Macaca fascicularis: one gene and its partner. The protein of the gene in region 1 interacts with the protein of each later gene in a pairwise test. Links are inferred from orthologs where the notes say so. Each region holds a gene or a part of one and is shown on either strand. Other genes may lie near its edges.

Region 1 (4,114 bases):
CTCAGCTCCTGTCCTGCTTCAGCATCAATTCCGAAAAGGAGCCATTTCTTTCTTCAGGAACACGCTTCTACAGAACTCAGGGTAACAAGTGAAAACTAATCTTGTGTGCTTATCTCAAGGACTGTGCAAGCTTATCCAGGGTTTCAGGCGACAGCTGTTGGCATGAAGCCCTCTTGAATAAATAGGTGGAGGCCCAGGCTGTCCCTCCCTCCCAACCTCCCAGAGAGCTCCAGCCTCCTCCCTACACAACCAGCGAACTCACCTCTGGGTAAAGGACCCAACTTGCTACAGTTGGCCAACTATCTGGCTGTATGGCCCCATGAGTCATCAGGCATCGTGGCTTACACCTAGCAGGGCGAGCAGTTCCCACTCTGGGTACCCATCTTCAGTCCTGGACTGCCCTCCTCCCCAGATCTCACAAGGAATGTTATGACCAGTTTGGGATGGGTGGGTGGCGCCTCACTCGGCTAATTTGCCAGAAAAAGAATCCACACAAGTACTTTCCCTACAAAATAATTTATTCCAACACACAGCAACAGCAGAGACTCTATGTACAAGCACACTGACGCTCCTGACTACCCTCAACTAGGGGACCCTTTTCTTCCCCCTTGCCTTGCGGACCTCTTCTATCAAATCTTTCAGGTACTGGATCTCCTTGGCCAGGGAATCCGCCCTCTCTTTTAAAGCCTCATTCTTCTTTTCCAGCTCTTTGCACTCGCCAGTGAGGGCCTCCTGCTCCGCCCTCTTCTTCTGGCGGTACCTAGTGGCTGCTGTCTTGTTTTGCTCCATTTTTTTCAGCTTCTTATCCAGTTTCTCACCCTTTACTTTTGCTTCTACCATCTTCTCTCCAGGAGGGTCGTAAGGTTTGGGGCGGGCAGAGCCACAGAGAACACCTGGAGATGGGAGGCTCCTATTTGGAGAGCCCCTGGTAGACGGGCTATGCTGAGGAGAGCCCAGATAGGACTCCGGGCTCATACAGATGCCACTATCATTATCTGAGGGGGTGTCTTCCTCCTTTATGCACGGAGGGATCATGGCAACATAAGCAGTGGCATCTGGCTTCCTATCTCCTTCAGTGATATCCACTTCACTGCCCAGCTCTAAACTAAAGGAATGATCTGGAGTGGAGGACAGGACCCCTGGGGAAAGGGGAAGAGGTTGCAAGAAGGTGAAGGGGGCAACCTGGTCGGGTTTTGTTAAACTTTCTGGGAGATGGCCAATTGGGTTCACCGTCTGGGGGGGCTCCTTGTTAGTCTCCTGGACTAGGGGGGCAAAGAGATCACACGTGTCATCCAACGTGGTCAAAAGGTCATCTGGCATGGTTTCCAGGTCATCTATACCCAACAGGGCATCAAAGTCGAACTCCTTCAAATCCATTTTCTCCAACATCCAATCTGTCCCGGAGAAGGCATCCTCTGCAAAAGATTTGAATGACAGGGCCAAGTGAGTCAGATACAAAGATAACAGGCCCCTAACCCTAGATCCCACCCAGACGATGTGGTGGTGGCCCACTCACCCTTGCCGTTGTTGGAGGGACTGACCAACCCATCCACAGCCAGCCATTCGGAGGAGCCCGCCTTAGCCTTGTCGCTGGAGAACCCATGAGGTTTGAAGTGCTTGGCCACCTCCAGGTAGTCATCTAAGAGACCTAGGCTTTCTTCAGCCCCCAAACCCGACTGGTCGAAGGGGGACATCAAGTCCCCCACCAACACCTCGCTGCTCAGGAAGCTCATTTCGGTCATGTTGCGGTGCTTTGCTGGAATCGAGGAATGTGCTTAATTCGAAGATGTCTTTGTCGGTTACAGCAACGCTGCTGCTGAATGCCGTGAGAAGCCTGAATGGGAATCAGAAGCCAACTCCCATTAGAGGTTAGCTGGTCTGAGAATTTCATCTTTCCACTTACGAGGCGGGACTTCTCTAGTCCAGCCATCTACAGAGTCGGCAACGGGGCAGTTGCATCCGCCCCTCCCTGCTGCGGCTCAGGTTCCACAAAATGGACGCTCACGGAGACCAGGCGATTCTTCCACCGGCCACCAAGAGGAAGGCGCTCCGTCCCCGCGTCCAAATACGGCCAGGGCGGCCGCGCCCCGCCCACCGCCCGCCCTTGACTCACGCCCGCGGCGCCGCCCTGCCGCCGCCATCTTGGTTCTTGCCACGTTTCGCGGGGGGGGAAAGCCGAGACCCCTGGGACCCTTGGGGGATTCGGGGTCCGAGGGCGGCAGGGCCCCTGTGGAAGCAGTCCTGGCACCAGAATGCGCCTTCCCGATCCCGGGCACGCGAGCGTCTCGGGGACACCCAAGCAAAGACCACGCGTCCCGGGCGCTCGTAAAATCGCTTCCTCCTTGGCGGCACCGCCCTGGGCCCCAGGCCGCACCCCACCAACCCAAAACCTGCGCCGGCCCAGGGAGCACAGCTGGACGACCCGCCCTGGTACTCACGCCATGGCTTAAGCCGCTGGGGGGGGGTGCCGCTGCAGAGCCTGGTGCTGCTGCCGCCGCTGCAAAGGCCAATGCTGCCGCAGGCACTGCTGCCCCTAATACGCCATGGTGGCCGTGGACCCTGCGGGCGGGGAGGAGGGAAGGCGCACACGTGCGAACCAAACTACATTTGTGGGCGGACGAAGTAGAAATGGCCGCAACAGCCGCCCGCCGGCCCTTTATAGACTTCGTCTCTAAGGGGACGCAGCACCGACGCATCCTTCCGCCACGGCCACGTGACCATCTCCTCCCGCCCGCTCGTTTCCCTCCCTTTGACGCCCCAACCGTTTATGCCCAGCGCGTAGCTGTGACGAGAAAAGGTGTTTGTTCTTATGACCTCACGAAACGAGAGAGGTGCACTACTTTACTTCTATGATCAGAGTCCGTTCTTTCCTTCGCCGCCGGAGCGCGGAGTGATCTCGCAGACACGCCTCGCTTCCGGTGTCGGCGCGGTGGGCGGGGAGAGGTCGTTTTCCGGCGGAGAGTTTTTATTGTGAAGGCCGAGGACGCCAAGTTATCGCGCGAGGTGCTGGCGAAAAGCGCGCGTCAAGTTGATTGGCCCAGGCACGGTGAGTCATATATACCTCGAGCTCTTATTGGCTCAGGGCCCCAGGTGGGCGGCTGCTGGGAGAGGGATCACGGAGTCCGCGTGGGAAGGGTCGGGGTCTCGGGTCTCTGCCAGGCCTCAGGCCGGCCAGCCTGCTGGCCAGCTACAATCGCACTGGCTTCTGCCCCCAGGAGACCTTAGCCTAGCGCACCCCATAGTGGCCTCAGGGCCCAGCCCCTGCGGTCGGGTCCCGCCGCCCTCAGTGGAGGTCCGCCACTGGCGGCCCCGCCGCCACTCCCAGCCTGCGCGTCCTTCGGTTGCGGGGGCTAATTTCTGGCCTGCGGAAACCGCGGGGTTACCTGTTCCAAGCCTGAGTTTTCCAGAGACGCCATTCATAGCCGACACGGTGTTGCTGCCCCCGGGAGGTTGAAGGGGTCTCGAGAGGGCGCCTCGGGCCTGCCCACCTACACTCAAAGGCCAGCTGAGTCTGCATGGCTCCGTCTAAACTCTGGAAAGGAGCCGGGAAGACGCGCCGTCCTGTCGCCCAACCTGGGTTTTTACAATTCTCATCCGGCTCAAGTGCGAGGCTGCCACAGAATAGCATCATAGGGGAACTTCTGGTGTCCGAAGATTGCGTTCCCCTAAGAACAGAATTTTCTTCGCTGCCATCTACCTGGGGTAGTTTCGATTCACTCCGGGTTCTGAACTCCCCGGCCTAACCCGCTTTTCAGTGGTCATGCCCATGGCCCTGGGAGGAGAGGCGCTTGGGAACCCACGGCCACGTGCTCGGGGTTGTGCGTTGGGAAGGGGGGGTAGTCTGTTTTAATACAGGAAACCTCCGCATCGTCCTCAGCCCCCTCCAGTCAGGCCCTGTGAAGGTAGAAACTGTTTCCGCCTCCATTTCACCGGGCCACACAAGTATTTCTATGATCGCTGTGGTATCAAACCACCAGGGAAGCACTGCTCTAAATAACCACAGGCCATCTGCTGCGCTCATTCAACCTCGCCCACAAGTCCTTTCCAATGGTAAACCGAGGCCCAATGGGATGAAGCTTCTTGCTCAAAGTCGCACAGCTCCCAGTGGAGGGAG
Region 2 (3,618 bases), on another chromosome or scaffold:
AGGTGGCTCCCGGGGCCCAGGAGCGCTGCCCGCCCACCGCGGGCCCTCTGGACCCAGGCCTGGGGCTTTCCGTGCCCGGGCAGCCGCCTGCCCGGGAAAATCCCGGCCCCCTTCCCGGCGCTGCGGCCCTGCCCGGCAGAGCGGGGGAGGGGATTCCCGGAATCTGCCCAGAGACCGCGGTCGCGTCACTGGGCAGAATCGGTCCTTGTATGGGCAGCGCTTCCGCTGCGTCAGCGGGGAAAGCCCCGGCGCGCACTGCTGGGCGGGGCCGCGCCTGCGCGCTCCGCGTCTCGCCCCCAGCGCCCTGCCTTCAGCTACTGTGTCCCTGGACTGCGTCCCGCGCCCCAACCATCCAACCCTGGAGATCCGGGGACGCGGGAAGGGTGGGACTCCCGGGTTGGGACCACAAGATGCCTGCGCAGAGCCGACGAGGGGGACACATACAGGACCGAGCCACCAACAGCACTGAGCTGGGGGCACACCAGTGCTTTTTTTTCCCTCCGCCCTCCCAGCTTGGAAAAAAAGACAACAGAAATTAATAAAGAACAAATTTTTTTTTTTTTTACTTAAATAGATTCAATAAAAAGAACAAACACACACACAAACACAAACACGTCTTAAAATAAACTCTTTAGAGACTAAGTGCGTGTTTCTTTTCCACAGTACGTTGCAGAGAGGGGAGGGCAGGGGGCGGGGGTCCCCTTCCCAATGTCCCCGCGGGCTTGAGTACCGGGCGGCGGGGCCAGCTCCGCCGCGATCGCCCCCTCCTCCCCTCCCTGTTAAATACACAAATATATTATATTCAATATGAATCGAGTCTGTTTCCAGCAGAAAAAAAACATACAAAAAAATGTGGAAGGGGGGGCTTGTAAACGTCGAGGTGGAAGGACTGGGCGCAGGGCGGGAGTTCAGTGTGGTTTGCGGCGCCCCCAGGTCCCAGGGTGGGTGCCCACCGCCTGCTCCCTGGACCCCAGTGGGAGACGTGCGCCCAGCCGTCCAAGCGAGGGGGTGTCCGTAAGGGGACAGGGGGCGCTCAGAAGGCGTGTCCCTTGACCCCAAGCAGCAGCTGACAGCCGTTGCTGACGTGGGTCATGACCTTCTGTTTGAGCTGGGCCACCTGCTCCCGGAGGAGGCCGGCGGTACTCGACAGCCCCGCGTTCTCGGCCTTGAGCGTCTTCACCTTGTCCTCCAGGCGCGCGATGCGCTCCAGCTTCCGCTTCCGGCACTTGGTGGCCGCCAGCCGGTTCCGCAGCCGCTTGCGCTCCACTTTGATGCGCTCTTGGTCTTCCATGTTGATGGGGGACACCGGCGGCGTGGCGTCCCGGCTGCGCGCCTCCGGCACGGTCTGCGGTTCCTCCTTAAAGGTGGAGGCGCTGCGGCCCAAGCCCAGCTGCGCCGGGTGGCCACCGGCGAAGGGTGGCGCGTGTGGGAGGTAGCTGATGGTGGCCGTCGGGTATGAGCTCCCGGTCCCGACGGCAGCCCCGGCGCCTCCCGAGGACGCAGAGGCTGGGGAGTAGCTGCTGAGGTTGGTGTAAACGGGAGGTGGCTCCGGGCCGGCGTAGACGCCCCCGGGCCCAGCCGGGGGCCCCCCGCTAGCGCCCAGGGACACGTTGGGGGGTGTCACGTGGTTCATCTTGTGCAGATCGTCCAGGGCTTTGACAAAGCCGTCGGCGAAGCCCTCCTGCTCCTCGGTGACGCCACCCCCTGCGCCCCCCGCACCTCCACCGCTGCCACCCCCGCGGGGGTAAAAGTACTGTCCCGGGGGTGTAGGCGTCGTCGTGATCACGCCGTTGCTGTTGGGGACGATCAGGCGTTCCAGCTCCGAAGAGGCGAGCTTGAGAGACGCGCCGGTGTCCGAGCCCTGACCAGAAAAGTAGCTGCCGCCACCGCCGCCCTCTGGGCCGGGTCCCCGAGCCCCAGGCGCTTTGAGACTCCGGTAGGGGTCGGCCAGGTTGACCGCCAGGCTCGGTTTCAGGAGTTTGTAGTCGTGTAGAGAGAGGCCACCAGGGGCCCGGCCGTATCCCGTAGCTGTGTATGAGTCGTCGTGGTAGAAGGGCTGTTCCATTTTAGTGCACATCCGGGCGGCCCAGGCGGTCTGGGGAGGGTCCCTGCGGGGCCGCCCCGGGCCTCGCTGCAGCGAGCGGCGAGCTCTCCGCTGCGGTGGCCGGACTGGGTGCCTGGTCGCGCGTTCTCGGGGGCTGGCGCGGGCGGGGAGCAGCCAGCCGGCAGCTGTGCGCAAAAGATCTGTCAGGCTTCCCGAGCCCCCGTCGCCCTCTCCGGCGCGATAGCTTTCCTGGCGTCGTTTCCCCCAGCTCCCAGCTCCCTGCTGGCTCCGAAGCTGGCCTGGCCGCTCTCAAGGTCCCAGCCGCTCAGCCTGAGCCACACGCCTTTATACCGCGCTAGTCAGCCACGGAAGTGCGCTCCGATTGGCCGTCGCCGAAGCCGGGCCCCCGCGCCCCCCTCTTCGAGCGTGGGGAAGGGGAGGAGGCGGCTCGCGTCACTGTCAGGAAGCGCGTGTCCTTGTAAACAGCGGCCACGGGCCGGGTGGCTCGGCGGGCCTGCAGGGGGAGGGGCTCAAAGGACCCCGGGGTACGCATGGAAGGAGGCCTGGGGGCCCAGGCACATGAGTGAGGGGTTTCAGGGAGGAGGATGATTTCATTGAAGTCCACTGGGACAAATACCAGGACCTGGTACGCAGCAAGTAGGGTGAGGATCTCAGGGTGTGCGAAGAAACCCCTGAGGTACCCAGAATACGAGAGGGGTAGGACAATTCATTGGGAGACCCCAAAAAGCAGGAATGAGGGTTAAGCACGGTAAATCGGGAGGGGTAAGGAGACATCTGACCCAGGAATTGACTGGGGGTCCCGAGCATAGAAGGATGCGGGGCTGGAATTTTCACAGGATGGAGGAGGGGAGAGATCAAAAGGGGTGAGTGGGCGGAGCTGCACGACCCATTAAATTGAAAGAAATGAGTAGGGTCCAGGAGCCCATGGGAAGGTCTGAGGGCTCTCCCGTAATTGGGAAGGAGGAATTAGGGGAAATCTAGGTATGCAGAAAGCGAGTAAGCGTCCTGCGGTACACTGAGGCAGGTAAAATATGCAGGGTAGAAGATGGAGACAAGTCTGCCAGAAGCTGGTGACCACTGGGGTCATCTGCGAAGCCCGGATGAAGGAGAGAGTCAGAAGGGTCCGGACACATCTTCGGAGCAGAGAAGACAATAAGAGGGTACTCAGTTGACATGCGAGGAGGGGGCTTTGAGGGTCCTGCGCACCAGGACTGCTGGATCTTCCACGACTGGTGCTCCCCCTCGTGGGTAACCTCCTAGGCATCTGTATTCTCTGTCCCCCATCCTAAAACTCTCCCCTATTGACCCTGGGCTTTGCCCGACACCGTGTCGGCTCCTGGAGCCTGGACCCAGCCCGACGGCTGGGGCGCGGTCGCCCAACCCCACTCCCTTCCTTAGAAACAGGCTGGGGAAAGAGCGCCGAGGCAGGAAGTGTGGCAACAGCCCCGGGGGAAGGAGCCCGGCCCTGTCTCCGTCACTTGGATCCTACGGGACCGTGCGCCCCGCCCTGGGTCCCGCCGCATCCTGCGCCTCGGAAGAGGAACCTGGGCGTG

Evidence for each region. The genes of interacting proteins can lie anywhere in the genome.
Region 2: the proteins of ATF4 (region 1) and JUNB interact in binary tests that used the Homo sapiens proteins (3 or more experiments, as listed by UniProt). The link is inferred for Macaca fascicularis from reciprocal best matches to the Homo sapiens genes ATF4 and JUNB.

The regions. Positions count from the first base shown.
Region 1 is NC_088384.1:12,124,644-12,128,757, forward strand, and holds ATF4 (cyclic AMP-dependent transcription factor ATF-4), read right to left. Parts: upstream 2,632-4,114; 5' UTR 2,439-2,631; intron 1,835-2,438; 5' UTR 1,743-1,834; coding exon 1,517-1,742; intron 1,416-1,516; coding exon 586-1,415; 3' UTR 501-585; downstream 1-500. UniProt on the Homo sapiens protein: Transcription factor that binds the cAMP response element (CRE) (consensus: 5'-GTGACGT[AC][AG]-3') and displays two biological functions, as regulator of metabolic and redox processes under normal cellular conditions, and as master transcription factor during integrated stress response (ISR).
Region 2 is NC_088393.1:13,180,007-13,183,624, reverse strand, and holds JUNB (transcription factor JunB), read right to left. Parts: upstream 2,364-3,618; 5' UTR 2,078-2,363; coding exon 1,034-2,077; 3' UTR 536-1,033; downstream 1-535. UniProt on the Homo sapiens protein: Transcription factor involved in regulating gene activity following the primary growth factor response. Binds to the DNA sequence 5'-TGA[GC]TCA-3'.